Neurospora crassa OR74A: one gene and its partners. The main gene of each other region encodes a partner of the protein of the gene in region 2 in a complex. Links are inferred from orthologs where the notes say so. Each region holds a gene or a part of one and is shown on either strand. Other genes may lie near its edges.

Region 1 (7,935 bases), on a different chromosome or scaffold from region 2:
CAATGTTCTGCGTGTGCGACAGGTCGAGCGCCGCGTCGACTTCGTCGAGAATGTACATGGGCGCGGGCTTGAACTGGAGGAGAGCCATGATGAGGGAGAGGGCAATTAGGGATCTGGACGACGACAAAGTTAGTAGGCTTGATGGGAGATTTTTGGATGAAAGGACGGGCTGAGGTGAGTTGAATTGGGGGAGGCGGTAGAAAGAAAAAGAAGAAGAAAAAAAGATTTTGAAAAACAAAAATTTACCTTTGACCACCACTCAACTCGGTAAGGCTCTGCTTCCACACTTTACCAAGCTGCACCTTAACTTCCAAGCCCTCGCTGATGGTCTTGCCTTCGGGAGGATCCAACTTGGCGAAACTGCCCGGCAACAGCTCGGCAAAGATCTGTCCAAAGTCGGCATTGACCTTCTCCCACGTCTCCTGCAGCGCCTTCTTCTTGTAGTCGTCCAGACTAAGAATGGTTTCCTCGATCTTGCGCTTGTCGCGGATGACGGTGCGCATCATGTGCTTGAGCGACACCTCCTTCTTCTCCACGCTGTCGATCATGTTCATCACCTTTGGGTTGATCTTTTTGCGCAGGCCCTGGCTACGCTCCGTCAGGTTCCGCAGCGTGGACTTGCACTCGGCAATGTTCTGGCCCTTGAAGTCGTAGAGCGTTCCGGGCCGGCCAAACTGGTCCTTGGTCTCGGCGATCCAGTCGTGCTCGCGCTCCATGTGTGAGGCTGTCTGCGCGGCTTGCTGCTGCTCCTTGTGGAACTTCTCGATCTGGTGACCGAGCTTCTGCATTTCAAGCCCCTCCTCGGCGATTCGAGCATTCTTGGATCTGGTAGCATCTTCCAAAGCCCGGAGCTCGTCGTCATACACATGCAGTTTGGTCCGTTCGTCTTCCAGCTGTGCTAGGACGGCGTCGTGGGTCTCTTGAAGGACTGTTCCTTGCTTCACTATGTCGTCGATCTCCTCCTGCTGGGCTTTGAGAGCAACGTCGATATCTTGAACCTGCTCCCGCGCAGCTGCGAGATCCGCAGCAACCTGCTCGGAGTCCAGTTGCGCCTCCTGAAGCTCTTTTTGCAACGCCTTGTTTGTAACAGACATCTTGTCCAGGGACGCACGTAGCTTGTCGACTGAAGCTTGCAGCTCCACAAGCTTAGCGTCTTTATTATTGTCAAAGTCCTTCATGTCCTTTTCGATTCTTTTGGCTTCGGCGGTGGCTTCTGCCTGTCGCTGCTTGGCCTCCATGATCGACTGCTTGAGTTGGACTATTGTTTCCTTCATATTTGCAATCTCTTGGATGATCGATGATGATGAGTTGCCGCCAATTTGCTCCTCCGCTAGCTTGATCTCATGGGCTTTGAGGTCAAGTTCTTGCTTGATTCTCTTTGCTTGGTCAAGTTTCGTTTTTTCCCGGTAAATTTGGCCGCGTAGCTCATTGAGGGCGGTCTCTGCTTCCTTCAGCTGCCGATTGATTTCATTGAGCTTCTGCAAAGTAACCAAAACGCCGCTCGAGTTGGGGGCACTTCCACCCGATAGTGTACCAGATGGATCGTACGAATCACCCTCCACTGTGATGCTCCTCATGCGGACATTTGGATCGAACGTCACTCTCTTGGCTGTGTCTGCATCAGCGCAAATGAGCGTATTTCCAAAGACATAGTCCATTGCCGCTGACACTTCATCGTCGTACCCAACTAGGGACAAAGCCAGGTGCACTTTTCCTGGAGCGATTCGTTGCGCATTGGCAATCGTTTGTGCAGAAGCCTTGAAAGCAGAGATCTTGTTCAAGGGAATGATGGTAACCCTCTTTCGCAATCTACCGCCTTGCAGTAGTTGTGTGCCAGTGACTTCGGTGTCAACAACCACGTTGTAAAGACGGCCTCCAGCGCAGATCTCCAGCGCTGTTCCAGCTTCCATATACTCTTTGGGTAATGAAAAGAGTTGCGCGACTAGCCCTTTCACTTTTGATCGATCAAAGTTTGGGACTGGATCGGCGTAGTTGAAGTCGATATTTGCCACCTTGCGTTTAAGCGCATCGGCTTCTTGCCTGAGATTGCGGATAGTCTGCTGGAGCGAGCTTTCCTGCTTATACATTTCTTCCTCCGTCCCGGGTTGGAACCCAAGCCTTCCAAGCTCCTTCTCAAGCCTCTGAGCCTGGGCTTTCAGGCCATCGAGATCCTTCAGCAAGCCGGCGTTTTGCTCTTTGGCCTTCCTGGCCCGGGGTTCTTCCCCTTTGATTCGCTTCTCCAGATGGGCGATTTTGATCTTTGCCTGCTCTTGTTCAGTTGCCGCAGCCGTGGCCCTGTTTCTCGCGTCTTGTAGTTGTCCTTGGTAACCGTTCTCCTGTCCCTCCTTGGACGCAACACCAGTTTGCAGGGTTTGTAGCAGCTCTTCCTTGGTGTCTGCTTCTTGCCTCTGCTTTTCAAGCGTCTCCTTGGCGGCATCGTATTTCGCCTTGATCTTCTCGTACGTCTTCGTCTTCTCCTTCAGCGCCGCTTCCAGGTCCGCAACGTTCTTCTCTCCAGCTTTCCTCCGTTCCTGCTCCTCCTTCATACTGCTCTTCTTCAAATCCACAACAGTAGCAAGCCTTACCAGCTCGTTGGCGTGCTTCTTCACTGCTTCTTCCAGGGCTTGAGCCTTGCCACCTTTTCGTAATTCCTTGTCGCGCTGTGCCTTAACCCGTTGTAAGTCCTCCTCCAGATGGGATATCTCATTTTTCAGCCGGATAGCAGATTCCTCAAGTTCTTTCTGGCGCTGCTTCTTCGCCTCAAGATCCGATGCTGACTGTTGTAGCTTCTCCTGACACCTTACGTAATCGTGCGCCACCACGAGCCTTGTCAATCGCTCCAGGTCGTTTTGTGTTTGCTGAAAGTCGAGGAATGCGCGCTTTTCGGTTCGTAGCTTCTCCAGTTTCGGTTCGATCTCATCCCGCAAGAGTTCTTTGATCTCCTGTAACTTCATCTCCTTCTTGGCCATCGTCTTGAGTGCTTTGTCCCTCCTGTCCTCGAACATCCTTGTGCCAGCTGCCTCCTCGATCATGGCCAGGATTTCAACGGCCTTCATATTCAAAACTTTTGTGATGCGGCCCTGCATGATGAGGAAGTTGGGGTTGTTGATATTGAGCTGAACCGATTGGAAGAGGTTCTGTACGGTTTGTTGCTGCGCACGATGACCGTTGATCAGGTATTTTGAGGTGCCTCCGAGCACGATTTGGCGGGTAACGCTGATGGTCGCATACTCTTCGAATCCGATTGGTGACTTTTTCTTGTCTCTATTGTCGAACACTATGGTAACGCTAGCCTTCGTGACACCAGCTTGGCCTCGTTTGTAGATAAGATCCTGCAGGTTTTGAGCGCGGACTGTTGACATGTTGGTAATACCGAGGACGAAGCAGATGGCGTCGAGGATGTTGGATTTACCGCTGCCGTTGAGGCCGGTAATGGAGTTGAAGCTCTCATCCCTGTGACGGCCGGTTAGTTATGCAGTTGGGAGGATGCCTTCCATCGCCCTGATGGATTTGTGCCCTTACCATCCCGAAATCACCGTTCTAACGGCGTACGACTTGAAGCCCTATGTGAGGCACGAATATGTCAGCTCTGTCGCGACTTCAAGTTGTCGCATCCCACGTTCGGTCCGGTCGCGACTGATGGCACCGTGGAGAAACACGTACGTCGATAATGACTTCGGTAACCCTCATTCTGGCGTCGTCGTGGTTTTGGGCCCGAGGATTGTGGTGGCTCAGACTTTGGCGCTGCTGTAAGAAACGCCCGCGCCTGCCCGAACAATTGCAACAAGATCGGAAGATGGACTCAACGTTTGTTTACTTTTCTCAGGCACCACTGGGTTTGGGGGAAGGGCGGGGTGTGGGCCAGGACAGGGCGCCCTGCATTCACGTCTGCACGTGCCCGCCTGCCCCTGGCGCGATGCTCACAAAGGTGGGGATTATGTAGCAAGTGGCTCTCTGCGACACTGGGTCCGTGCTCTGGCTATGTATATGTACCCCTTTTTGGTCTATCACCATTTATGATGACCCTTTCGTCGGCAAAGATCCCAAGTAACTCGGCTTGGCGCACATAAGATCAGGAAGCTCTACGCGGGATCCTATTCTCCGTCTTGCGAGGCCCTTGATTCGGCCTGGAGCAGTAAATCATTACGTACCAAAAGACCATGCAAAACGGGCCTGATTTGTACATGGCGCAGAGCCAAAACACATTGTGGAGCCTTTCCTTCAAGTGCACGGCATGGCCGGGGAGGCAAGGCATGGTCCCCGCTATGCCCGGTTCTTGGCCCTGAACTGGCCGACGGGAGCCCCCTCCGGGATACCTATGGGAGCCTCCATTCAGGCCACAGGCCGGGGACGCCGCCAACTAGAACACAGTGGCACGACTGCCCTGCGTGAGTGGGAACCTGGACGGCACGTTCCTGCTTGCGCATCGATTCCTCCAGCTCGTCACAACCTACCGTAGTGAAGTGGAAGCTCTTGGACCTTTCACCCTCCAGCTTTCCCATCAAACTGAGCGTCTCCCGTTCAAGATCATTGTTCGGCTATTGGTGGCATTTTTGTGATTTCATGACGCGCATTTCAATTAACCACCTAATCGCAACGACCTGTTACCCGCCGTACCTTTGTCTCGACGTCCTACCGGATCCGATCTCCAGCCCAGCTTCAACCGATTGGGCCATCACCGCGAGCAATCCGTCTCCATCAATAAACTTACAAAGAGAACTCCACGTTACGGCGCATCTCGAGAGGAAAAACAAACGAAGCGAGGGCACTCATAGCGTTGCGACCAGTGCCCATAGTCTCCAGCAGTCACACACTTGCAAAGAGAATAATAACAGCCTAGCAGCAAGGGGCACCCTCTCCATGGTTCCTCGAACAACTGCTATCTGATGCTCCCTTCGAACCACGAACCATAAGGCGCCGAGGTTTGCGCCCTCCCTGCGAGGACACAATCAACACAAAGCCATGAGTCTCTCGCAGCGCCCCCCTTCGAATGCTCTCTTGTCGGCTTCAGCAGAAGTGGATGATAACTCTCTTCGGCCACGGAACCGCCGCGTAGCGAGCAACCGGAATAATGCAACATCATCCTCCCTCTACTCAAGCCCGAGCAGGACCTCAGACAGAGGGGCCTCGCCGATTCCCGCCGCACGCATAGGAGATGTTACTGGGAGGAACGATTCTAGACTCGAGGTCGCGGCGGGCTCCGCTCGTACAAGTAGCCCCAGGGGTGGCCGTGGTCTGCTCGATGGCTCGTGGGCTTCGACGTGGGCCTCCGTTCAGGAGTTTACCACATCACTGCTTACCGGTGGAGAATCATATCATACCGGGTCAGAAAGGTTGGCAACTCAAACCGCTGGGAAACAAAAGAGCTCCAGCAGTTGGGGTCCCGAACCACCAAACGAGTCGAGGCCACGCTTGGAGGATGTTGGATCAGGATCATTAACCGAGCGGGAGGGGCGTCTCAGGGCCCTTAGGACAGCAAGTGTACTCGAAAGCCACGAGGGGGTCAATGGTGGCCTGGATGTTTCCAGGAGGTTCAAGAAGCGTAATTCAGACGAGGATTTGCGAGAACCTTCTCAGAGTCAGGAAGCAGCGGAGCACCTGGTGTACATTCACCATGTACAACCTACCGATACCTACGCCGGGATTGTGCTTCGCTACAAGTGCCGTGAAGACGCATTCCGTAAGGCCAACGGCCTATGGTCTCGAGACAATATTCAGATACGCAAATGGCTTGCAATTCCTGTCGACGCCTGCGAGATCAAGGGGCGCCCTTGCGGAGGCCCCTCATTTTCAGGGACTCAAGTTGATTACTTGGCTCGTACGCCGGAAGGAACTGATCCATTTGGGCGAGACAATTCCAACAACCGAGAGTTTTTTGGCCCCTCAACCAACGATCGAGGCGGGGACGACAAATTACCAACAAATGATGACGAGCGACCATGGACACATGTGCGTTGGGTATCACTCGACTCGTTTCCTCATCCTGTTGAGGTCGCACGAGTAGAACGTAAGGTTCTGGGATACTTTCCCCCGCGTCGGAGGAAGAGCATGAACACCACTTCCACGATGACGTCGCCTAGGACGTCAATGGACGTACCGGGTACCACCCTGAGTGGAGAGACCGGTCCCATGAGTCCCGGCAGCATATCTTCTCGCCGAACGAGTCTTATAGGAAGCCGTCCTAGTCTTGTTGGAGATGATGCGCGGCCAGCATGGATGAGACGGCCGGGGGGTGTAGGCTCGCTGCGGAATGTAAGAGCGCCCGGGCCCGAGAAGGATTATTTCAACACGTGGACAAATAAACATCTACCGGGCCTCAACATTGACTCTCTACCGTCCATGGCTGTTATGGGTGCTGAAACCGCCCGCCTCGGTTTCCACGGCGCTGAGGAGCACCCAACTATTGTGGAGAGTCCTTTTGAAGACGGAGGCGATGCCTCGAGGTTAAATGGCCAAGGGTCCACCGGCCTCGATAAAGCAGCTGCGGCGGTCGAGAATTGGCTACGAGGCGCCTTTGTCAAACGACCATTGGGAACGCCTTCTTTAGGCGTACCGAAACGATCGCCTCTTGGGGCAGAAGAAGGCGACCTCATCGAGCTTACCGACACTAATAGTGACGATGATCGAGGAGGCCCTGTCAATCCTACGTCTAACAATTTACAGGACACAGGACTGTCGAATTTTGAAGTCGGTACCTCTGGAAGAAGCGCTACAATGGGTGGGAGTGGAATGATGAGAGGGCGGTTCCCCAGCGGCAATCTTGCTGGGAGGGATAAGAAGGCAGACTAATTGTAGCTTTGGACAGATAGATCGCTCGTTTGCATCGGTTCTCGGGTAATTTGCAGCTTTGGAATCATGACGGGGGATCCCCACTCATGATGAGCATGTTATCACAGTTAAGTATAATGGCGTCCTCTTTCTTCATCATAGGGGGCCAGCAAAGTTGGCCAGGTTTGCATTAATATCTATTTTGGCGGTTTTGTGTATATCGAGAATTAGAGCGAAAGCGGGCACATTCAAAGCAATCACTAGACCATAGGATCACCGAAAAGTATATTTCTCATGCGCCATGAACCACCGTTTTGATTTGGACAACGGCGGTACAATTCGAGATATCGATGCGATGGACGAGATCATTTGGCCAAATGAGGACGAATATCGTTGACGGACGTTTAACCTCTGTTCGAGCCCCTGAAATGGCTGGGCCTGGTGAAGCAGCATCAAAACTGCACAACATACTGTGGTACACACATTGAACCCTAACCCAGCGCTTACCATGTAAACCAGAGGTGGACTAACACTGAATTGCTATAGACGCCAAGAACTCTCCCTCAGCATCATCCACGGCGGAAACATTGAGGAACGCCATCAAATCACAAGCGGTTAAATCCATCACAACACTTACGAACCCTCAACGATAATTTCAATCACGATACACACTTAACCCCATCAGCCTCGTCTCTGCTCAATCTCGCGGTCCGAATGCCGATTTGCATCGAATGCAGACACCCTGTGAAGACGTTATGGAGGGAGGGCGCAGGTGACAAGTCGACTGGACACAACATCCGATTGACGGTGTGCAAGAACTGCGGCCGCTTCTGTGACAAATATGTCGAGCATGACTTTGTCGTACTCTTCATTGATCTCGTCTTGATCAAACCACAGGTATGTGATGAACACAGTCAACCAATCAGTCAATGCACTTGATACATCAAGAGGTGCTCCAGTAGGCACAAGATTGAGCACTTGAGAAGTGAAAGGTGACTTTTGTTTGAAGATACAAAGAGCTAAAACACCATGAATGGCCATAGGTCTATAGACATTTACTTCACAACACCTTGATGAAAGACGAGGATGAATTTGCAGTACGTGATTGAATGCCCATTCTCATCTCACAGGTGTTTCCGTCACTAACATAGCGGACTCGTCTTGAAA
Region 2 (7,808 bases):
TCACCACAATGGCTGCCGCTGCCCCCGCCGTCACCACTTACCCTCCTCTCGAGGAGCGCCCGCTCAAGAACACCATCTGCTTGTTCGATGTCGATGGCACCCTTACCCCCGCGAGACTGGTATGTCTGTCCTCTCTGCCCCCCCCTCTAAAAGCTGCTCTATGAATCCGGTCCTTGTTGCCTTTCTGGTAGAGCCAGCTGGTGGTGGTGATCGCTTCACCTAATTCCATCCCCTTCTTTAAATGTATGTATACACCGATGTAACTAACACAGCCCCGCCCCGCCCCCGATCAAGACCGTCTCGCCCGAAATGCTCTCCCTCCTCTCGGCCCTCCGCCAAAAATGCGCCATCGGCTTCGTCGGCGGCTCCGACCTGGTCAAGCAGCAAGAACAGCTCGGCTCCGCCGCCTCGGCCGACGTCACCACCCTGTTTGACTTTTGCTTTGCCGAGAACGGCTTGACGGCCTACAAGCTGGGGCAGCCGCTGCCCTCCAACAGCTTCATCAAGTACATTGGCGAGGACCAGTACAAGGAGCTGGTGCGCTGGATCCTGCACTACATTGCCGACTTGGAAATCCCCATCAAGCGCGGCACGTTTATCGAGTACCGGAACGGCATGATCAACGTCAGCCCGATTGGCCGTAATGCGAGCACGGCGGAGCGAAACGAGTTTGAAAAGTTTGATAAGGAGGCGGGCGTGCGGAAGGAGATGGTGGAGAAGTTGAGGGAGAGGTTTGGGCATTTGGGTTTGACGTATGTATTTCTTTCTGCTCTGCTCTGCTCTTTCTTTCGTTTTTTTTTTTCCTTTTGCTTGTCTCCCGTTTGGTAGTGTGGTGTGGTGTGGTGTGGTGTCTGCTGCGGTCGGCCTTTTTTTTTTTTTTTTTTTTTTTCTTTACCTCGCTTCGCTCGATCTCTTCCCCCCCCCCACATTCTCTCAGCGAGACAACAAAGCTAACAGAGAGACACGGAAAACAAACAGCTTCTCCATCGGCGGCCAAATCTCCTTCGACGTCTTCCCCACCGGCTGGGACAAGACCTACTGCCTGCAGCACCTCGAGAACGAGGCCAAGAAGGCCGGCGGTATCACGTACGACACCATCCACTTCTTTGGCGACAAGACCTTCAAGGGCGGTAACGACTACGAGATTTACGAGGATCCTAGGACTATTGGTCACTCGGTTACCGGACCGGAGGATACGGCGGCCGAGCTGAGGAAGCTTTTTAACCTTTAAGTTTTGGGTTTTGGGGGTGTCAGAGGTCTACCTACCTACCTGTGAAGGGGGTTGGGTGGGGATATGATGATGATGGAAGAACAAAGTAAAAGAAAAAAGCCTATATAGGGATTGAAGATAATTGGTAATGATGATTTGAAGACACAAAATGGAGAGTCCTCGGGAACGATATGATGCGTGACCAAAGGGTTGTTTACAGGCTCTTCCTTGCTCCTTTACTTCAGTTGACCCTTTCACTTAATCTTTTTCACGCTGGTACCACATACCTCCTCATCTCACCTCTCTGTATTGGAAACCAACACTGTCAGAGACCCGTTGGGTATACCATTCCGTAACCCGTATTTCATATTCTTGATATACCACAAAGTGCTAGACCATACCATATCATACCATACCTTATACCTTATACTGGTTCATACGCTCACCCACCCACCCAGACAGAGAAAAAAAGGAAGAAAGAAACCTGCCAATCCACCCACCCACCCACCCATCTCACTCACTCACTCACTCGCTCACTCACTAGTGTACTATTTCTTCTCCTCTCCGTTGTCGTTGCAAAACAACCGAACCGTCCCGCTAAACTGGGGTATCAACGTCACACTCTACAACTACATCCACTCCAAAAACAAACCCCCATGCTATCTATCTCCATCTAGCGCCCAACTATCACTCACTCACTCACTCACTCACCACCCTCCTCAACAACAGCATTCGCGTCCTTCTTTATGTAGAGCTCCGTCAACTCCTCGCTCTTCTCAATCACCAACCCTTTTTCGTTGGCAAGATGCAACAAGCAAATGAAGCAGTAACTGGTGGAGATGTCGTCCATGGCTTGTTTCGGGTAGACTTTTTGCAGCGAGTTCATGACTTCTGTGAACTTGAGCGTTGGTTTTTCTTGCTGTTCTTCTTCCCCTTCTTTGGGAGGTTCTACTGAGGAGCTCGGTGGTTGGGCGGATGGGGTCGTCGTTGGGGGTGGGGAGAGGAGGGAGTCTTCGGGGTTTGTTGTTGTTGTTGTTGTTGTTGTTGGTATCTGTTGTTCGTGTTGTTAGTAACTGGGAGAAATAAAAAGAGGATGAAACAAAAAGAAAAAAAAAAAAAGAAAAGAAAAACAGGGAGGAGAAAAGAAGAGAGGAAAAAAAAAAAAAAAAAAAAAAAAAAAAAAAACGTCCGCCATTCAACATGTCCATCCCCATCCCCCGCCAAAGTTCCTCCTTCAGCCTCCTGACATCCACCTTCTTGGCCCGTCTCGCATACTGCACATACTCGGGCCTGACTCTTCGTGATTGCGTGACCAGCATCGTGCCAAACGCCAAATCGGCCGGGTTCGTAACCGTCAGCCCGTTAAACGCGCCCGTCATGCCCACGTCCATCGTCAGTCCTGCTGTTCCTTCTTTCCCGGCAGCGCCATCCCCTTGCGTGCCACCGGGGCCAGGCGAGAAGTGATCCCGTGCGTCAGCAAAGACTTCCTCGTCCATGTCTTCGTCGTCATCGTCGTCTCCGCCGTTGGCAAACGGCAGACCGTCATCCTGGAAGAAGTTGGCGTCGTAGTCACCCTGCGGTAGATGGTCGTCTTGCGATGATGGGCCCTGGTTCAGCGGCGCTTTTTGTTGGGCCCAGAAGGCCTCGTCCATGGTGCCCTCGGGGACTTGGTCTGGGTTTTGGTTGTCGGCATTGGAACGGCCAAAGGCGCGCTGCTTGCGGCCGAGACGGGCCTTGGGCTTGAGGAAGAGGTTGAGCAGCTGCTTGGAGCTGAAGTGCTTGTCGTCCGGCAGCAGGTTGCGCGACTTGGACTTCCAGTCCTTCTTGGGCAGCGAAATGGCCGAGTTGGTGGTGGCTTGGGTGTGCAGGACGTCGTGAAGGGTGCGATCCACGGGGGTGAAGAAGTCGATCTCGAAAGCCTGTTTCTCCTTGCGCTGGCGTTGTGGTTCTCCCGTTTGGGGTTTGTTGACATCTTTGATCTTGCGAATGCGCCAGTGCTCGGCGCTGGTCCAGTTCTTTGATAGGGCTTGGTCGAAGTAGCTGAGAATGTCCTCGTGCAGCCGGTCCGTCTTTTGGGCGTTCGTCATGTTAACCATGCCGAAATCGCCCTTGTCTTGATCGATCATTTCGAGGTCGCCGTCTACTCCATCACCATCGTCACCACCTTCGCCCTCTCCTATGTCTAGACCGGCGTCAAAGACCCGCATCATTTGTGGCTCGATGGCGGCTTCGCGGGCCCAGGCTTCTCCACCCTCACCGAAGGCTACGTCAACGTCTCCTCCCAGGTCGAATGCGCCCAGCGCATCATCGTCATCGAAACCGAGCGGGTTCTCGTCATCAATAATGAAGCCGGATTTGTTGCCGAGGCCAGGGGTCTTGGCTCTATCTTGCTCCTGGCGCCAGTCCTCGGGCGCTCTGAGGAAGGGAATATCGAGGGATCCGGAGGGGTCTCCGAGGATAAAAGTCTTGAGCGATGGGCACACATCCATCTCGTCTAGTCGTCCAAGATCGGGAAAGAACCTAGCACCAAGACTGGCAATGTCGATCTCCACATCGTCCTCCTCCTCTTCTTCTTGTTGTTGGGTCCGGGTCTGGGTCTTTTCGGTTTGGCCGTCGATTTCCATCGCATCAATATCCATGGCGTCCGGGTCGGCATCTTGGTCGTTCTCCTCGGCGGCTTTTTGGTTGCGTGAGTCGAGAGTGTCGATGGCGTCGTCGCTGCTGTCAAAGACGATGCGACCCTGCGAATCGATCATCAGATGGTTCAAGAGGAGACCCTTAGCGCCTCCCTCATCGAAGTCTGCTGATGCCTTTTTGAAGAGCGGATCTACTGAGAATTCGAGTTCGAACTTTTTGAGCTGCAGGGAAGCGAAAGAGGGTGCCAGGGTGGCTTCGGAGGATCGTTGGGTCTGCAATTGTCAGTATCATGCAACCCGCCCGTAGCAGTGAGCCGAGCAACCAACCTTCTTTCTACGCTTCTTTAGTACGTTGCCATTCTCGTCCACCTCGTCCTCCTCCTCATCGTCATCGCCGCCGTCCTCGCCCTCGCCCCTATCCCTCTTCTTGCTGTCGCGACTGTCGGCCAAACCACTGAGCAGCTTTCCGGTTTCCGTCGCAACACTGTCGACTCTGCTGGTATAAATCTTGACACACCCGTCCAGCGTGCAACTGGCCTTTTGGAAATTGACACCGTCTCCTTCCTTGAGTAGCGACATATCATGGAAGTAGTCGATCAGCGCAAAGTTCCACGAGTTGGCGGCATTGATCTTGTTGTCGGTGGCCATCTTCATCCACTCCTCAAAGTTGGCCAGGATGGGGACGCGCTTCATGGGGGTGACGACGGCGCCGCCCACAACCGGCCTGTCATCGTCGTCGAGGATGGAGAAGTTCTCCTTGCCAGAGATGCGGCGACGCGGGGTGCGCGGTCCGTTGGAGGTCGGAGTGCCATTTTCGTCGATTACGCTGCGGGCGGGGGTTGCGACTGCGGTCGCGGCGAGTTTGAGCTGGTTGATCTGGGCCTCGTGGAGGGCTTTGCGTCCTCGCGATCGTTGTTCCTTTTCTTGGGCGTCGTCGTTTAGTGGGATTCTAGTCGGGACGAATATCTCTGGTCAGTTACAAGGGAGGAAAATGAAAGAGGGACGCGACAAGACGTTCAATTCGCAATTCGCAATTCAAAGAAAAGACGTACTTGAGGCCGGGGGATTTGAGCGGGGATGGCACCGCAGGGCCCTTGCTCATGCTCCGTCGCGGACCTGTGCTGAGGCGAGGCATCTTGGCGGTGTTGACGAAGCTATCCAAGATGTGAAGCTCCAGGCGGCCGCTGTCTAGTTTGGACTTTCAGTGGTGTTTGTTTACTTTGACCCGCCCGTAACCACGATGGGAGTGCCAATGCTGGATAGGTAGCGCAGACACGGGCTAGACGGATCCACGTCTCAGCGGGCGGGCTGGTGACGGGTGGCGGCACGTGCTGGGGCCTACTACGCAGTACTATGGTAGAGGTAACTAAGAGCGGGGTGAGGAAGTTGAAGGGAGGAAGTCTGGGGGGCTTGGCATCGAATGACTAAGCTACCTCTACAGTCAAGGTACTACGCTCAGGTACAGCGGTACATTACAGGGCATCGATACATCCATACACGTACAAGGGACATACTGTTACATGCGGCGGCCGTTGGCGATCACACAGAGCCCCCCCCCCTTCTGGTACTTACACTACATACACGTGTACCTTGTATGTGGGGTTCACTTGGGGAGTTGAAACTCCGATTGAAGTTCCTGAGTCCGAAGTTGTCACGCATGTGCACTCCCTACATAACTAGAGAAAGGAGACGTATATCTACCTCTACCTAGTGTACAAGTGGCAGGGCATATGGGCTACCTCCCCCGTCTTGACCTCTTTGTGATGCGATCAAGACTCATCTCTCTTGTCGCCACAAATCCACAGCCTCTTGAGTTAGTTCAGATGGAAGTTCCGTTCCTGTTGGTCACCTCACCCGCATCGATTGGAGCTCGCGTATGTATGCACTGTAGAAGTATAGTAGGCATCTGTAGTAGGTATGTATTCCTACTCTACAGTCAAGACAGACTCCAACCGAAACAGCGTCTCCATGTCCAACCGGGTTGCGCATGGGGCTGCAGACGTTAGAAGGTAGCATTACCTTTCCGTGATTTTCCTTTCCTTTTTATTTTTATTTTTTTCTTCTTTTCGGTTGCTGCAGGGAACTTGTTGAGATCAGGAACACGGTAACACAGCGATATGTCAGTCTCCTGCCCAACCAGGAAGGTCACCCTCTTTTAATATTCCCCGCCTTCCTTCTTTGCCCTTTGCCTCTACTCTAGATTACATACATCGATAGCTTCTATCTTCTCGTTCAACTTTCTCCCAATCACCTATTTCCTATAGTATCTACACTAATAGATACCTACCTTGCGCCCATCCGTCGTCTACCCATCTCCAATGCAATGAATCTATCGTCTTGTCTCAGAGAAGCGGCGCATGGATACCTCGACGCACCAGTCCTAATCCGACCTTTCTGGCCACCCGAAATCACCTTGGCAACTTTGCGACGATGATCTCATTCCGCCTACATAACACAGCAATCCCGCCCGCCCACGCGAGCCACGCCATCGTCCCGTCAATCGTATACACCATACTGGACATACTTGTAGCCTTATCTGTTTTTTTTTTCTTCTTCTTTTCTATTTCTGCTGCTGGCAAATTTCTCTCTTTTTTTTTTTTTTTTTAATTCCGGCCATCATCAACATACGTACCTTGCGATCACATTTGCGATTGCGACCCAACGATAACTGCCGTTCGATTGCCCCGCCGGTCCATCCATCCATCCATCATCCATCACCGTGGCGACACTTCCCTTGGGTCAACACACCACCACCAGCACATACAGCCAGTATTCCCCACGCGATGCCATGACCAAAGGTCCAGCATGTCGCTACATCGCCAGAAACGGAGCCCCTTCAGCTCCCGACCCTTTATCGTGTCGACTCTCCTCATAACCTGTCTAGCAACCTATGCGCTCGTCCTCAGACCCTTCGCGACATCACGGTTGTTGCGCCAACCCGAACATGATCAACAACAACCACATAATATTGCGCGAATCCTCGCAAGAGGTCACCACAAGCACGAACCGACCGCCCCCGTCGATTGCCGCGATGTCCACCTGGTCCAAGACCAATGCGCCTTCATATTGGCCAACTGCGAAGACGAGGATGCCGGCCTAATACACTACCTGAGCTTCTACTACTGCACGCTACCCAATGCGAAACCCGTCGCCTTCGCCGTCCTGACCGCATGGCTGGGCCTCCTATTTACCACGATCGGCATCGCTGCCAGTGACTTCTTCAGCATCAACCTCAGCACCATCTCGAGCGTCCTGGGTCTAAGCGAGAACCTGGCCGGCGTCACGTTCCTCGCCTTGGGCAATGGCTCCCCGGATGTCTTTAGCACCTTTGCCGCCATGAGTTCCAACAGTGGGAGCATGGCGGTGGGCGAGCTGATCGGTGCTGCTGGCTTTATCACTGCCGTGGTAGCCGGGTCCATGGCCTTGGTTCGCGAGTTCAAGGTCCAGAAACGAACCTTCGTCCGAGATATCGTTTACTTTATTGTTTCCATCAGCTTTACCATGATGTTCCTGTTGGACCAGGAACTGCACCTGTGGGAGGCCAACGCCATGGTTGGCTGCTACATCTTCTATGTCATCTTGGTGTTTGCGTGGCAGTGGTTCACGGACAGGAGGAGAAAGAGGAAACAAGGGGAAGCTGCTGCTCGTGCTCATTTTTATGGCTCTACACCCGAGCCATCAGGAGAGCTGGAGCCATACCGGGATCAACCAGAGGATGATGAAGCAGCTTCGGGACATCATCGGCCTCGTACTGCTCAGACCGACATCAGCGCTCTGGAACATGGTCCCAGAATAGAAGTTGACGGACACGGAATTGCATCTACACCAAGCGAAGAAGAAGAGGATGAGCACCGCGATCTGCAAGTGGCTGCAGAGATGACCAGCAGCATGCGCGTCAACCGTCCCCGCTGGGGCCGAAGCAACTCCACCATCACTCCCATCAGACCTAGTCTTGTCGGTGC
Region 3 (7,643 bases), on a different chromosome or scaffold from region 2:
CATGATCATCAGTGACTTCTGTATTGAAAGCTCGCAAGTCAATTTGATTGCCTTTTTTCTGTCAACCCTTTTTTTTTTTGTTATTATTTTGCTCGAGAGGGTACATGACTCACCATTTCCGATAGGCCGGAGATGAAAATGGAAAGAAAAGGAGATTGATCCCAACATCAACATGCTCCCTAGTTTTGGTAGCCACTTCTCCCTAATCTCGTCAAGAGCTTCAATAGCTTGCCTGAGTTTAGGCGAGTCATCCGTGAGACAGGTGGCTTCAACTGTAAGAGTCAAGTGAGAGCCGTTATAGTTAGTCCCTAAAGACACTGTAAAGTCAAAGGGAAAGCCTTGGACGGTCAGGTAGGATATATCCCTCCAATGACAACTTTTTGTGATTGACTGGCATATATAGCATCCCTCGTCTGCCGCTCGAAGGAGGTTGTGTAGACTCGAGTGATGTGGAGTCCCCCATTTGAACCCTTTCGGTTGCCAGTGGGGTACAAAGCGGTTGCAAACCGCGCATAGGTGGGTCGACATTATGGCGTTTAGGCGGGACTTGTTCAAAGTGGTGGATTGGTAGTAGTAATGGTAGGAATGTCACGGTGTTTTGCGTTGGAGGGAAGAAAGATGGAAGACATTGACGTGGCACGGCGGGAGTTTCGCCGGTTACCGCCTGGAGATTAGAGTGGCAGGGAAAGAGTGAATGGGTGCCTTCCACTGCTACCCAACTGCCCGGGCGGAGAGAAAGTTGCTGGTACAAAAAAACGCCCCACGATTCTTTTACCGACAAAAAGAGCCAAAACTCACCTCAGCCACTCCTCAGTTTTTCTACTCAATACCTTTAGAAGTAGATGCACTTAACGAAGCAATGAGGTGAATGATTCTAGTATTCAAGTTAAGGTTGGTATCAAATTCGTCTTTTTTGTAATCGGGTGACTGGTGTCAATTATAGAGCGTAAAAGTAGAATTCAGTTATGATGAACTTACAGCGCATTAGGTACAGTGGGTAGAAATCGAGATGCTTACATGTAGAAGTGACTTTGGTACTTGAGATCTCGCGCTTGTCCTCAATGTACATTCTCAAACAGATTGTACCATGATTTCCTATTAGTGATTTCTGTACCTAGATTTCAAAGTAATAGTTGCGATCGGACTACACAAGCAACAAAGAGCTAAAGAAGTTCTGTTCAGGCCTTTTTTGGTGGTCAGAATTGTCTTTGAGCGGTTTTTTTTTTTTTTTTTTTTTTTTTTTTTTTTTTTTTTTTTTGGATGCCTCTTTCAGTTGATTGAAACCAATCAGGAACGTCCAGTCATTACTGCCAGTCAGCGAGACTCGACCTTCGTTGCTGCAAATCGAAAAAGCAAAAGAGCATTCTCGTCGGTTTGACGATAAACAGTCATAAACATGTTGACTCAGGTGACCATCTCCCCATGGCAAGACCCAAAAGTATCCAAACGCCGTCGCTATGCCCGTTGCCAGAGATCAACCTATCGACAGAAAACTGCCAAGCTATGAAGGTATACCCACAACTCTTTAGCCTCACGAATAACCAGCAAGGTTCTCCAGAGCGGCAGTGCTGCTCAACCTCCCCGTCACAACCCCTCTCATCCTCAAAAGCGCATTTGCGCCTTTACTCTTCCTTCCTTCCCCGTGCCTCAAGTACTCCTGAAACCAGCTTTCCTCCTCGCCCGTCAACGCCGCGCTAACGAGTTCCTTGCCCCTCGCTCCTAACTTGTCCGGCTGCTCTAGAATGGAAGCTACTAACCTTTCAAACAGCTGCTGGCGGGTCCACTCCGGGTAGCGACGCGAGAAATCGAGTGCTTCGGTGACGTTAGTACGAGCAAGAGCGCCAAAGAGCAGCTCGAGAGCCTCGGATGAAGTAAAGACGGGCTGGGCGGCGTGGAAGTAGGCGAGAGCTAGCGTGTAATCGCTCTGACTGGTGGAGCTGCGCTTGTTGACGAGCGGATGGCGGACAAGGGCGATGGTGATTTCGTCGGCGAATTCGGTGGGGAGGGATGGGTGGGTTAGGTTTTCGATTGCGTACTGTTTAGCAGCGTTTGTTAGCGTCTTGATGTCCAGTGTGCAACTTAGGTTCCAGAACCAAACGGACGTCCGCACCTTGAACTCCATGCGATCCATGTGCCACAGGCCCCTCATAAGGATCTGGTACTTTTTCGGCAGTCCCGTCTCCTCAGCAAAGCTGTCCGCCCAATGCGAACGACCTGGATGGACGTCATCATGGTCGAGGAGGAGATAGTAAAGAACGGATATCTTTTGGATCGACGAGGCGCTGCTCTGGCAGATTTGTTGGTGGAGGGAGCGCAAGCCGTTCTCACCTCTGGGCGGATATGCAGTGCCTAGAGGTAGTTACAGTGGTGATTAGCGATGAAGCGCGCTATAACGACAGGGCATGGGTTGTTAGGGTGATTAGGTGGTAGTGTGGTGTTTACACTACACTAACCTTGGGCGATGCCTAACCGACTTAGGACGCGATCCACAAACAGGACGCCGCCCAATGATTTGCGGAAAGTCTCAATGGCACTGGCTCCCTTGTGATCGTAGGGGTTTATGAATCCCGGAGAGGGGAACACGTTGTTGTATTCTGTATAGTCGAGCATCGTGATGTTGAAGTTGGATTGCACAGTTGAAGTGCCCAAGTGTCCTTAGCTGTTGAATGAATTGAATGGAAAGGGAAAAGGGAAAATCGAAGGGATGGATGAGTGCCGTCATGGCCTGGGATACATGTATGCAACGGCCATCGGGTCCGTCAGGTCCATCCCCTGCACCTGGAATGGAGCCTTCCCCGGATCTGTACCTGCGCTAGGTAACGGCCTGTCTTGGCTTATCGATAAGGTAAGAAAGCCGTAAGCGCATGGAATGTTTGTTACACAGAGCGGGACTCCACCAGCCTGCCACGCATGCAGTGATAGCGCAACACGGTGCGAGCGTTCCAGGCAGCGGAGGGGTCGCCCGCTGCAGTGCACGAATTGCATTGGCTGCCCGTGGCTGCTGTGGCTGATTGTTTACCACCGCAGTCACGGTATTGCAAGAAGCGTCCGTCCAAAAACTGCCCTGAATGTCAACAATCTAACCGCGGCGGGGCAAGGAAGAAGCTGCGACAGCACTCAAAGAGTTTCTGCGTGGGCGTCCCATTCCGTGTCTGTCGCAACAACTGCCCTGCGAAATGTGAATACCATTTTTCATCTTTACTTGTTATTACATAAACTTTCACTCCTTGGTTGTCTGATACCCGCATCTTGCAGCGCTTTCTGTTCCATTCTGTTCTGTTGTTTTCATCATCGAGTCGAGAATTTGCAGGCCGAAACCACCGACAGACATCAGTCATGTCGACGCGCCCATCGCGTCGGGCCGCCGCAACCAGGCGCGCCGCCATCATCGAAGAATCCTCATCAGACGACGATATCGCAAACACCACATCGAGAGGCGCCCAAGATGACGACGAGGAGGACGATTATACACCCGCGCCAGCTTCGGCAGCCCGCAAGACTGCTCAGCGAACCACCAGAAGATCCACTGCCACGCCCGCTCCTAGGGCAGGAACACCAGCAGCAGCATCATCATCAACTGCACCGGCACCGGCACCAAAAGCTGCGCCGAAAAGGCGCGGACGACCTAAGAAGAATGCCGCGCCCAAACCCAGCAAAGAGCCCAGTGTCGAACCGAGTGTCGAAGCGAATAACGATCCCCAAGCCGAACCCGAAGCCCCAGCGCCTGCCGTCAAGCCAAAGGATGAGCCGATCGAGGAGGGTATCGACCCCAATGTGACTGTCGCGTCTGCCGTTTCGCCCGCTACAACCGCCGTGATCGCGGAGCCAGAAGCACGGGATACGCAAGAAATTCAGTCACCCCCGCGGAAGCGTAGAACTCTTGTGCGGCGCCTCAGCAGATCGCCAGCAAAGATCATGCAGCAACAACTCGAGCTGCAACAGCAACAAGCCAGCCGTCAAGGGACACCAACGCCAGGCTCTCCGTCAACTCAACGCGTCGATCGCCAACCTGCTCCTCTACAGGACATCACCCAGACCCTCATCAACCTACCACCTCCAGCGACCGCGGCATCAGAGACCCTTGTCAACACACAGCCAACATCAACAGCAGATGAAACCGTCGTGGCGGCCCAGAAGCCCGTCAGGGCTATGGATACTATTCTGGAAAAGCCCATGGATATTGTGCTCAAGTCACGGACCATGGCTCTTCCCGTCGTCGAGGATACCGGCCCGAAGCCACGCATTGTCATCACCAATCTTGTGCTCATCAACTTCAAGAGTTACGCCGGTAGACAGGAGGTCGGCCCCTTCCATGCTTCGTTCTCTTCGGTCGTGGGTCCCAACGGTTCTGGCAAATCCAACGTCATCGACTCGTTGCTGTTCGTCTTTGGTTTCCGTGCCAGCAAGATGCGACAAGGCAAGATCTCGGCCTTGATTCACAATTCGGCGCAGTTTCCGAATCTCGACTACTGTGAGGTGGAAGTGCATTTCCAGGAAGTCATGGACTTGGTAAGTCAAACATTGTTTTGAAGGGGAGTCATTGTGCTGACATTGATAGCCCGGCGGTGGCCACGAGGTTATCCCCGACTCAACACTCGTCATCTCGCGCAAAGCATTCAAGAACAACTCGAGCCAGTACTACATCAACGGCAAATCATCCAATTTTACCACCGTGACCACGCTACTCCGCGACCGTGGTGTCGATCTGGATCACAAGCGTTTTCTCATTCTCCAGGGCGAAGTCGAATCGATTGCCCAGATGAAGCCCAAAGCCGGCAACGAGCACGAAGATGGTCTGTTGGAGTACCTAGAAGACATTATTGGCACTTCCAAATACAAGACACCAATTGAAGAGTCGGCCACCGAAGTCGAAACCCTCAACGAGATCTGCATGGAGAAGAGTGGTCGTGTCCAGCACGTGGAAAAGGAAAGGAACAGTCTCGAGGACAAGAAGAACAAGGCGCTGGCGTATGTTCGCGATGAAAACGAACTGGCGCTGAAACAGTCGGCTCTCTACCAGCTATACATCAGCGAATGCGACGACAATATTGCTGTCACAGAGGAGGCTATCGGTCAGATGCAGGCACAACTTGACGCTGAGCTTGAGAAGCACCACGGCAGCGAACAGCTCATCAAGCAGTTGGAAAAGGCCTACTCCAAGGGTAGCAAGGAATACGACTCTTGGGAGAAGCAGACACAGCAGCTGGTCAAGGAGATGAACAAGTTCGAGCAGGAACGCGTCAAATTCGAGGAGAAGCGGAAGTTCTTGACGGACAAGCGTAAGAAGCTTGAGAAGACGATCGCTAACGCCGAGAAGACGGCTGTTGAAGCGGAGGAGACCATTCAGAACTGCACCAAGGAGATTGAGCGTCGTCAAAAGGACATTGTTTTCCTGGAGAAGAAGGTCAAGGAAGAGGAGGCCGAGCTTGCGACGATACGTGAGAGCCTCAAGGGCAAGACGCAAAAGTACTCGGATCAGATCGCGGCAAAGCAAAAGTCTCTCGAGCCTTGGAAGGACAAGATCAATCAGAAACAGTCCGCCATTGCCGTTGCGGAGAGTGAGCTGGCCATTCTCAGGGAAAAGGCCAATGCCGGAACTGTGGCCCTTGAGGAGATGGAGACGAAAATTGTGGCCATCCAGGAAAGGCAAGCGGCGAAGGCGGAGGAGATGGAGCAGTGCAAAGCTGAGAGAGCGAACCTGATCAAGGAGGGCAAGAAGATCGAGGCTGAACTTTCCAAGCTTGCGGAGGAGGAACCCAAGTACCGGCAACAGCTTTCGAATGCCCGCCAAAAGGCTGACGAGGCGCGGTCGAGCTTGTCCGCCACACAAAACCGAGGCAATGTCTTGACTGCCCTTATGCGCATGAAGGAGTCGGGTCGTATCGATGGGTTTCATGGACGACTTGGAAATCTCGGTGCTATTGACCAGAAGTACGATATTGCCATCTCTACAGCCTGTGGTGCTCTGGACAACTTTGTCACCGACACTGTTGAGGCCGGTCAGCAATGTATTGAATATCTCCGAAAAACCAACCTCGGACGTGGTAATTTTATGTGCTTGGACAAGTTGCGAGTCCGCGACATGTCTCCTATTCAGACTCCCGAAAACGCCCCTCGTCTCTTTGACCTTGTCAAGCCCAAAGACGACAAGTTCCGACCTGCCTTCTACCATGCTCTTCAGGACACATTGGTCGCCAAGGATCTCGCTCAGGCAAACCGCATTGCCTATGGCGCTAAGAGATGGCGAGTAGTGACCCTTGCCGGCGAGCTCATCGATAAGTCAGGTACCATGACCGGTGGTGGCACTACAGTCAAGCGGGGTCTGATGTCCTCCAAGCTTGTGGCTGACACCACCAAGGAGCAAGTTGACAAGCTTGAGGCGGACCGTGATACCTTGGAGCAGGCCTTCAACGAGTTCCAAGACCGCCAACGAGAACTCGAGTCCCGTCTGCGCCAGATCCAGTCCATGATTCCCCAGCTTGAGACCAAGATGCAGAAGATCAACCTCGAAGTTGAGAGCTCGGAGCGCAACCTTGCCGATGCCCAGCGCCGTATCAAGGAGCTCAGCAAGGAGCAACAGCCTTCCAAGACGGATGACAACCGCGTCGCCGCCCTTGAAAAGGAAATTGCCAAGCTTGAGGGCGAGGTCGAGAAGCTGCGCGAGGAGATGTCCTCCGTCGAGGATGAAATTAAGGCTCTTCAAGATAAGATCATGAAGGTAGGTGGTGAAAAGCTTCGCTCTCAAAAAGCCGCTGTGGACTCGTTAAAGGCAGAGATCGCCACGCAAAACGAGGAAACTTCTGCCGCCGAGGTGAAGATGGCGAAAGCGGAGAAACAGAAGCACAAGCTAGAGAAGGACTTTAACAAGGCGTCTAAAGAGCTGCAGAATGCCATTCAGGAGACCGAGGCTCTGGAAGAGGAGATTCAGAACCAGGGCGATACTGCCGAGAGCCTCACGACCCGTGTTGAAGAGGCCCAGGAGGCACTCAAGGAGAAGAAGAAAGAACTGGCAGCTATGAAGAAGGAGCTGGATGAGAAGACGGCCGAGCTCAACGAGACAAGGGCGGTGGAAATTGAGATGCGCAATAAGCTCGAGGAAAACCAAAAGATCCTGTCTGAGAACCAGAAGCGTCTGCGCTACTGGGAAGACAAGCTCTCCAAGCTCGCCCTCCAAGACATTGAAGATCTCGAGCGCGGCACCAGCGGCGACGCAGCAGCACCTCAACAACTTGCCGACCCTGATGCCATGGACGTCGACGACCCTGATTCCATTCTCCAAGCCCAACTCGAGGCCGAAGCCGCCGAGGCCGAAGAGAACGAGGAGGACGAGGAGGAAGAGGAGGAGGAGGAAGACGAAGATCCAGAAGCCATGTCCCTCGACGAAGACGACGAGGAACCTCGCCAGCGCAAGCAGAAAACCCCCAAGAAGCAAAAGCAAAAGCGCCGTCAACAAACCGGCAAAACCCCGCGCAAACCCCGCAACCCCCTCGAACTCCCCCGCTACACCCGCGACGAGCTAGCCGACATGTCCAAAGAGAAACTCAAGGGCGAGATCGCCGCGCTCGAAGAGAAGATCTCCAACGTGAACATCGACCTGTCTGTACTCTCCGAATACCGTCGTCGCGTGGAAGAACATCTCGCGC

What was found.
Region 1: the proteins of NCU02828 (region 2) and NCU07679 are in contact, whole or in part, in a cryo-EM structure (PDB 6YVV), measured with the Saccharomyces cerevisiae proteins. The link is inferred for Neurospora crassa OR74A from reciprocal best matches to the Saccharomyces cerevisiae genes BRN1 and SMC2. Residues at the interface, in NP_009455.3 of Saccharomyces cerevisiae: Trp49, Ile54, Phe57, Tyr58, Leu60, Leu63, Glu67, Asn68, Asn69, Ile70, Phe72, Gln73, Ala75, Ser76, Leu79, Asp80, Cys82, Ile83, Tyr86, Ser87, Arg89, Val90, Val93, Thr94, Thr97, Leu100, Leu101, Leu104; in NP_116687.1 of Saccharomyces cerevisiae: Ala169, Gly170, Thr171, Lys172, Glu175, Arg178, Glu179, Glu182, Met185, Ser186, Glu189, Arg196, Leu199, Ile203, Lys206, Leu207, Asn992, Lys995, Met1003, Lys1005, Thr1006, Lys1009, Asp1010, Met1012, Lys1013, Glu1016, Lys1020, Tyr1024, Lys1025, Glu1027.
Region 3: the proteins of NCU02828 (region 2) and NCU09063 are in contact, whole or in part, in a cryo-EM structure (PDB 6YVU), measured with the Saccharomyces cerevisiae proteins. The link is inferred for Neurospora crassa OR74A from reciprocal best matches to the Saccharomyces cerevisiae genes BRN1 and SMC4. Residues at the interface, in NP_009455.3 of Saccharomyces cerevisiae: Leu101, Lys108, Ser693, Ser712, Thr713, Ser714, Phe715, Phe717, Ile718, Leu721, His722, Ala724, Asn725, Leu729, Gln730, Ile731, His733, Asn736, Tyr737, Asn738, Leu740; in NP_013187.1 of Saccharomyces cerevisiae: Pro175, Val184, Gly185, Pro186, Asn187, Ser189, Ile363, Glu367, Lys368, Leu371, Asn1385, Phe1388, Leu1394, Val1395, Gly1396, Val1397, Tyr1398, Lys1399, Arg1400, Thr1407, Thr1408, Ile1409, Lys1410, Asn1411, Ile1412, Asp1413, Ile1414.

What each region holds. Positions count from the first base shown.
Region 1 is NC_026504.1:2,260,676-2,268,610, reverse strand, and holds the start of NCU07679 (nuclear condensin complex subunit Smc2), read right to left. Parts: upstream 3,985-7,935; 5' UTR 3,691-3,984; coding exon 3,664-3,690; intron 3,564-3,663; coding exon 3,523-3,563; intron 3,454-3,522; coding exon 247-3,453; intron 114-246; coding exon 1-113. Other genes in the region: NCU16785 (hypothetical protein), read left to right, coding at 4,963-6,789; NCU16784 (hypothetical protein), read left to right, coding at 7,483-7,665, 7,812-7,865. UniProt on the Saccharomyces cerevisiae protein: Central component of the condensin complex, a complex required for conversion of interphase chromatin into mitotic-like condense chromosomes.
Region 2 is NC_026501.1:8,974,533-8,982,340, forward strand, and holds NCU02828 (condensin complex component cnd2), read right to left. Parts: upstream 4,982-7,808; coding exon 4,899-4,981; intron 4,796-4,898; coding exon 4,174-4,795; intron 4,120-4,173; coding exon 2,458-4,119; intron 2,262-2,457; coding exon 1,914-2,261; downstream 1-1,913. Other genes in the region: sec53 (phosphomannomutase), read left to right, coding at 9-119, 295-752, 979-1,231; NCU02826 (sodium/calcium exchanger protein), read left to right, coding at 6,652-7,808. UniProt on the Saccharomyces cerevisiae protein: Regulatory subunit of the condensin complex, a complex required for conversion of interphase chromatin into mitotic-like condense chromosomes.
Region 3 is NC_026507.1:493,523-501,165, forward strand, and holds the start of NCU09063 (nuclear condensin complex subunit Smc4), read left to right. Parts: upstream 1-3,035; 5' UTR 3,036-3,336; coding exon 3,337-4,509; intron 4,510-4,558; coding exon 4,559-7,643. Other genes in the region: NCU09062 (hypothetical protein), read right to left, coding at 1,532-2,035, 2,111-2,349, 2,454-2,610. UniProt on the Saccharomyces cerevisiae protein: Central component of the condensin complex, a complex required for conversion of interphase chromatin into mitotic-like condense chromosomes.